Kluyveromyces lactis: one gene and its partner. The protein of the gene in region 2 interacts with the protein of the main gene of each other region in a biochemical or structural test. Links are inferred from orthologs where the notes say so. Each region holds a gene or a part of one and is shown on either strand. Other genes may lie near its edges. The genes, in order: PSY2 and PPH3.

What was found.
Region 1: the proteins of PPH3 (region 2) and PSY2 form a complex in vitro, tested with the Saccharomyces cerevisiae proteins (2 studies listed by BioGRID). The link is inferred for Kluyveromyces lactis from reciprocal best matches to the Saccharomyces cerevisiae genes PPH3 and PSY2.

Annotation. Positions count from the first base shown.
Region 1 is NC_006040.1:1,588,598-1,592,888, reverse strand, and holds PSY2 (Psy2p), read right to left. Parts: upstream 2,806-4,291; coding exon 556-2,805; downstream 1-555. Other genes in the region: SPS19 (2,4-dienoyl-CoA reductase (NADPH)), read left to right, coding at 1-261; ubiquinone biosynthesis protein COQ4, read right to left, coding at 3,557-4,291.
Region 2 is NC_006041.1:889,448-892,701, forward strand, and holds PPH3 (phosphoprotein phosphatase PP4 catalytic subunit PPH3), read right to left. Parts: upstream 1,637-3,254; coding exon 710-1,636; downstream 1-709. Other genes in the region: AIM25 (Aim25p), read right to left, coding at 1-179; PEA2 (Pea2p), read left to right, coding at 2,438-3,254. UniProt on the Saccharomyces cerevisiae protein: Forms the histone H2A phosphatase complex in association with the regulatory subunits PSY2 and PSY4, which dephosphorylates H2AS128ph (gamma-H2A) that has been displaced from sites of DNA lesions in the double-stranded DNA break repair process.

The DNA of each region.
Region 1 (4,291 bases), on a different chromosome or scaffold from region 2:
GGTGCTATCGCCAACACTGAAGGGTTGGCACGACTCACTAAAAATGATTCGAGCTCAGATCTGTCAGAGATGATTCCATTGCAAAGGCTTGGCACAACAGTTGATATTGCAAACACGACAGTGTTCCTTTTTTCTCCTGCAGCTTCATACATCACCGGAACTATTCACGTCGTCGACGGTGGTGCCTGGCATGTAGGCACACAAATAACGAGAGAGTTTTATCCTAAAGAGTTGAATTATGCTTTTGATTCAAAACTATAAGAACCTTCTCCTTCTGGCTATTAGTTGACTAACGGAGAATCCATTGCACATTGTGATTGGATCATTCAAAATAGTAAATCTGTAACACACAGATCATATAACTCTTATTCTTTTTCTCCCATCTATAACTTCAAAGTCTTGTTTTTCAATTAGAGAATGCAAGATCTGACCTTGAATTGAATATTATCCTAGTTTTTTTAATACTTATCCCTATATAAAACAACAACCTCCTTCTTTTTAACCTTATTATTAATATGCATCTAAATGCATCACATCTTCAGATATATCTGAATGTCATACTTCAACTTCCAGTGTAGTATTATCATTTTCATCAAAGCTAGTTTCCGTTGTTGATAAACTAGCAAGCTTTTGGGTTTCCTCATGATAAATAGCCATCATTTCTCTTGTGAAAGAAACGTAATCTGCCTTCAGTAATATATCACCATATCTACCGCAGATGTACTTATTCAACAGCATGAAATTCCTTGAACTTTTACTACCGGAAAGCGGAATATCTTCCTGCTCAACCACTTTTAATTGAGTGTTTAACGACTTTAAGAAATCTAAAATTGTAGAATTAGCCATATTATCTTCGTTCAAATTTTCCTTAAAAACTTCAAATATTGGATCGAAGAGATTCTTACCAATAAGATATCGAAGATAGAAGTCGTCATTTAAAAATACGATGTTTTTGAAACAACGCACTGCAGCAAGCCTTAATTGAAGGATATAATCGCTTGAAGCAAGTGATATAAGCCTGATCAAAATTCCATTCTCGAGAATAAATCGTCTAGATATTGATGCCTCATGACCTTGAATCATGAGATTGAGAAGTTTCACAAGTTTTATGAGTAACTGTTGATCACATTCATAGAGATTAACAGATCCATCGATGAAGCAATGGAAAAGGGAGGGCGCAACTTGTCTATAGAAACATTGCAAGTACTCAGCTAGCTGAAATTTCTCGTGATTTCGTTCACCGTCTAATCCATCATGATTTTTGCCATTCTGAATTTGAAGCATGTTATCAATTCGTGTGTCGATATTGTCATCATGGTTTTGATAGTCATCTACAATATAGTCTTCAGGATCTAATAAACTTACAAGTGCTTGGAAGGACTGTTCCTTCAATCCCGGACTCTTATCAGTGAGCAGGATCTTGGTCAATATAAGTAAAAGAGACATATCTGTAGAATCAATATCTGAATTCTCGTCATTCAATAAGGTGACTTCGTCACTTTGCACACTTTGGATTAGTTGGATATCGTGTTCAATGAGCCCCACAACTATATCCGTTGCAAGGATTCGAATATCGTTATTAGTTTCCATGTTGAATGCAAATTGGATGACTTGGAACAACCCTTTCTTGATTAAAAATTTGTAGAAAAGGGTTTTTTCTATTGAATTTAGGTTTTGGGAAAGTTGGATGCATTCATGTAATAGTTTTATACCGTCCCTTCTTTTATCTGGGGTGACGGTTGAATCCTCCTCAACTTTATACATCGAGATGACTTGATTAATAAAATTGTTGCTATCCTCCTGTAGGAAATCTATTATGGAATTCTGGTATGACAACATTAGGTCAGATATGAAGGTGAAAGATTGATCATCCAAAAATCTAACTAGAACCACATCTTTCAAAAATTGAAGCCTAAAATTTTGCGTAATCATTAATTTGATCGTTGGATCTGAGATGGGAATCATTTCCTTGAAATTTGGCTCCTTATCTTTCAAATATTGTCTATGGTTAAGTTTTGAGTTTGGAAATTCAGTATCATATTCCAATATACCGCAAACGCATAAAAAGTTTTCATCATTGATCATCTCTTCCAAAATCTCCTTGCTGTTGAACAATATTAGAGTTTTCACAATGTTGCTCAATAATAATAAATTTCGATATAGTTTAGATTCTTCTGACTGATAGAATGATCTGATTAGTGTTGCTAAATAGTGATCGTTGATAACAAATTGAATTGTCTCATTTCGCAGATAATCAAATGACGTGTTTTCGTTTAGAATTTTCAATGCTTCTAAAAGGGATTCTTCTGTCTGGTTTGGTACATTTGAGGGAAGATTGACCGGTCCTGTTATTATCTCATGAACAGACCCGATTCCATCATCTGTCGATCTTACAGCTACCAAAGAGATGCGGCTTTCAATGTTTTTCTGTACAAAGCAAATATATTCACATAAAGAATCGCATCCAATGCTTTCTTCAAAGGATAAAGCTATATCCTGACCATTCAGATCCTTCCAGACAATAAGAGTTTCCTCTTGACGCTGGTATTCGATGTTTTGTTCGAGCCTGGACTTAAGTAAGACCTGGTCATCGGAGTCTTCATCGACCACCAAAAGATACGCCATTTTCTCTGCAGTCTGAGTGTCATCTATAGTACGCTCTTCCACTGTCCCCTGACAAAACCCTGTCCCAGTATCCTTCCACTCGTTATTTTCCAACACATAGACTTTCACGCGTTTCTTCTCAGTGTATACCGACTGTTTGGCACCATCCCCAGAAACATGCATATTGTTAGATTCAGACATATCTTATATTATGCTGATCGAAGCCCTAATAAATGGCAAGATCTCGTAAGCTCTTTCTGCTAATTGTGACCTGACAAAATAGGTTCAAAGTCTTGTAAGCAAAAGTTGCAATGCGTTAACAACCGAGTGAGTCCGAAAGAAAACTTGAATGTTTACACTTCGTCGAAAGCGTCAGTGACTTCTTCCAGTTAAAAAAAAAGGACAAAGAGGATTAAACACAAGCGCTATAAGAGCTTTGAAGTAACAGATTCTTGTATGTTCAATATCAGATTATCCTCCCCTTCCGCTTAAAACCCTCACAAGACACTGCTTCTCTTTTATTATGGGGTGAGATGAGATGCCCTGGTCAGAAGTCTTAAATTGGATAGTTTTTAACTTTGTTCTTTTTTTTCTTCTTCTTGGCCGCTAAACGCAGTGATAAGAAAAAAGAACAGTTTTAAGGCTGCAAAGCACACCGAGGGAAAGAGGACATCGTACTGAAGTTCGATCATAATTGTTTAACATACCGCGTTAGCAAATAAAAGTGTAGGCAGTGGTACTGTACGTAGCAAGGATGTTAGCTATAGATATATTTTTTAATCGATCAAGCAAAGGCGATCTTTTTCCTCTTCAATTGAAGACGTTTATTTCATTACGTACGTATTTCTATTTCTTTTTTCCTGGTTCCTATATCCACAGAATGACCCTGCATTATACTTTACAAAGCAACTTTACGCCAGCCATCACGATTTGGGGATTGAGGGTTTAAAATTCATTTCTCGTAGGTCTCATACTTAAGCTTGAACTGTTTTCTTTGTTTCGCTCTTTCCTTTCTAATTTTTCTCAAATCTGGAGGTGGTGTGACGTTTAATTCTCTTCTTAGTTCGTCTATGTCCTTATCCAAGATTTCTTCCCAATAGACATTGATGAGAGGTTTGCAATTCAGCCCTGCTTTGACTGCCCATGGGAGGTAGATGGAGTAAAGTCTTTCCTTTTGCACTTTCTTTAATCTCAATGGTGCTAATAGAGCACCAAGTGCAGCCATTGGGACACCAATGTTTGATGCCTCAAATGCTTTAACTGCAATCTCACCTTCGATTATGATTGGTAGGTCATTTATTGCATGATAAAAGTCATGGCATTGTCTATATCTCTTAAATATGAAAGCATGGACAGGATCATCGATATAAGTAACTGGTGCCCTTGTGTCTGGAGAGACCCCCTCTTTCATCAACCATTTGTAGTACGTATAGCCAACTGAATTTTTATCCATCTTTGACAATCGTTCCATGTCAAGGCTTTCCGATGTGATGTTTGGTCTGTCTTGTAGAATCCTTCTACCAGTCTTATCTAACAACATTGTCCGTTTTAAACTTTCAAGAAAGCAAGGTAGAGCAGTAGCTTCTCCTAATTGAACGATGTTCTCACCGTTCTCCGGGTGGAAATAAGATTTTAAACCACTGATACCGAAGAGCATCATTCGCTCATACCACCAAAGTGGAACATG
Region 2 (3,254 bases):
TCATACTGCTGGATGGTCACATTGTTCATATTTGGCACGCCATTGAAGCCCAAACGAGAAACATCCTTTACCGGAGTTGCCACTCTAGGAAGCCTTCTGAAAGCAGAATACTGACGTACTAGAGCAGCAGGCTGCGAACTGAAAATTCGTCTGGTAAGTGCTAGATTATATCTCCACATGGTGTATGAATATTGCCCGGTCAGCTGTTCCCTTGCATCTAAACGTCTATTTGACTTTTTGTAAGACTCCGTTTAAGGTTGAGATACTTAATTGAAGATCAAATATCAAAATATTACCGTTAAATCCAAAATTGAAGGGAAGGTAAAAGTATCGTCATAAATGTTCTGCTCGAATGGAATACAACCAGAAATTCCATATTACAGTATAATATGTATGCTATCAAATGAATCATATAATTCAATCGTACAATTATTGAAATAGTTTACTGTTACATACCTATTGGGATACTTTTATTGAAATGTGGTATATCACTGTGTTGAATGAGATTAAGAAGAGAGGTAATATTAATACAAAGCAACAACTGTAGGTTGAGCTATGCTGGGAGGATGGTCGGTTGATAATGAGGATCAGGGTGATATACCATGCTGTTAAATAATGCTGAAAGAAAAGAAGACTGAACCAATAACACGGGAATCGGTCAGCAAATCGAGAAGAGAGAGAGAAAAATGCAAATAATAATGGTAATAAGTTACAAGAAGTAGTCCATTTGAGGTTTTTTCGTAGGGAGAATGACATTACCTCCACTATCCCTCGCCTGAACAGCTTCAAAAATGGTGTAATCCTTCGTCATATCGTCATCGATGCGCAGCACAGCAGCCACATTCCCACAACGATAACAGTAGTTTGGTGCTGACCATACCGTGACTAATCCCCCATCGAACATCTCTTTATAACCTTCCATGACCAATTGATGAGCTCTAGCGATTAATTCGACACTATTTGTGTGTAAAAATTTATCTACTTCGTTTTGGCCAAATAGGAAACCTGCACCACGCGGGGAAAGAGACCAAGTATCCACATCCTCTGGATCCGACCACAATAAATCACACATAGCACCTTCATGCGGTACCTCCTTTTTCCTATCGATGGTTCGTATTTCGTTGATTGATAAAACGTCCGGCGATAATCCACCATGAACACAGAAAACCTTGTTGTTTACAATGGCACCCAAGGGCAAATAGTCGAATACTTCGCAACAGTATCTCCATACGTTACTGTTACCATATTTCCTTACCACTTCGTCGTAAAACCCATAAACCTTCGTAATCTGTCTTGTTTCATGATTTCCTCGTATCAACACAATTCTATCTGGATACCTTAATTTATAACATACCAAAAGAAGGAAACTCTCTAACGAATAGAACCCTCTATCCACGAAATCTCCCAAAAAGATGTATCTATTCTTTTCAATGCCTCCACTCTTAGCAAAGAGAGTCAACAAATCATGCAATTGGCCATGAATATCTCCACAAATTGTGACTGGCGTATCCACATGTGTCACGTTAGACTCATTCATAAGAAGTTCTTGAGCCATGACACACAGCGAGTATATCGAATCCTCGTCAACATGTTTCCCCTGCCTTAGAGTCTCTATAATCTCATCGAGTTTCATCATTGACAGATGCTCAGACGACGTTAAAGTTAAAACCAACTGGAAGTATAAAAGATAAAAAAAAGTGATTCCCTGTTCAAGAACTGACGATATTATTCTATAGTGATGAGTTTGGATCAAATCCAACAAAAACCTACCTTAAACTAATCTAACAAAGGTAAACTGAATAGTCATCATTAACAATATAGGCTTAAAAGCTTCTTTACTTTCTTATTTTCCAAAATTCGATGAGATAGACAAAATGCAAGTATCAAGAGAAATAAAAGTATCAAGTATCAAAAGAGGTAACAACAATTACATTTTTCGGTTAGCCTGAAAAGTCAACTTGTCGGTCTGCGCTTTCCGGTATGTCTACAGTATATAGCGTAGTGTGGAATGCTTGCCTGTGTTGTATATGGGAATTGTTCAGAATCTTGCTTCTTCTTCTTCTTCTCCTTCCATTGTTTCTTTTTTTTTGCCTGTACTCTTTTTTCACGTTTCTTTTTATCAGTTTGCTTCCTTTTTTGTGTTTCGGCCACAAAAACGATAATTTAACGTGACATGCGGGTAATGAGGTGTGCTTATGTAAGCCTTCGGAAGATGACACCCAGACATCGGAATGGCGGTATTCGTGCGTGGTGATGTCAAATATCACGTGGTTGATAATGTGCTTGTATTACCCGGAAACTGCATGTATGTCCCGTGCGTGGTAATTGAGAAAGGCATTGATCGGAATCAACGCGTCTGGATAGATGAACGGAATGTTAAAATGTAAGTTGCTACCAAACCAAGCTAGATACTGATCGCAGCTAGCCCCTTGATAGAATGCTTCGTAATAACCTGGACCAATGGTACGAGTACAATACCTCTTTTGTAGAGAAATTGCATGGGAAGTACCCCAATGAACAGTTGAATGAATATTTGCAAACTACGAGTACGAATTCCCTGATATCCAATAGACAAAATTCGGAGTGGGATGAGCTTCCAATGGATTTGGATTCCCAATTGAAATTGGAATTTGCATTGTACTTGATTAATGAATCTGCTAACGGTTCTCTAAGTACTAAGGGAACTACTTTCTTACAAAAGCTTGGCTCGGTAGACGTTGACACGTTGAAAGAATTAGTCCAATTGGTACTAGAGAATGATAAATCTTTAGCCAATAAAAGCACTGATGAGGATGAGGGGAAAGTGGAACAGATCACCTCCTACCTGATCTCTAGCTCCATTTCTAAAGGTATCAATTTGGCATCAATAGACAATTCTTCCAACGAGGAGGGTGTACATGATCCAATCTCATTTTGTAAGAAAAACATCGACATCCTGTTGGATGCATACCCACAGAATTCAAGCAGTTCTTTGCAACACGCGCCCCTTTCTACCTCAGAATTGGAACTTAACGATATCTCAAAACAACAGGACCTACAAACGGCTATCACGGATTTACAACTTGCATACAAGTTCTTGAAATCGAAATATGAAAATGATAGAGATGAATACCAGGCGACTATAGAAACTCTGAACAAGACTAACAAAGAGCTTTCTGAAGAGCTCTTACACTATCATAGTAAGTTGAAGGAGCGCGAGGAGAAATCGAAAGTCACTTCACAGATGCAATCAATTCCAATGGATATCGATAGAT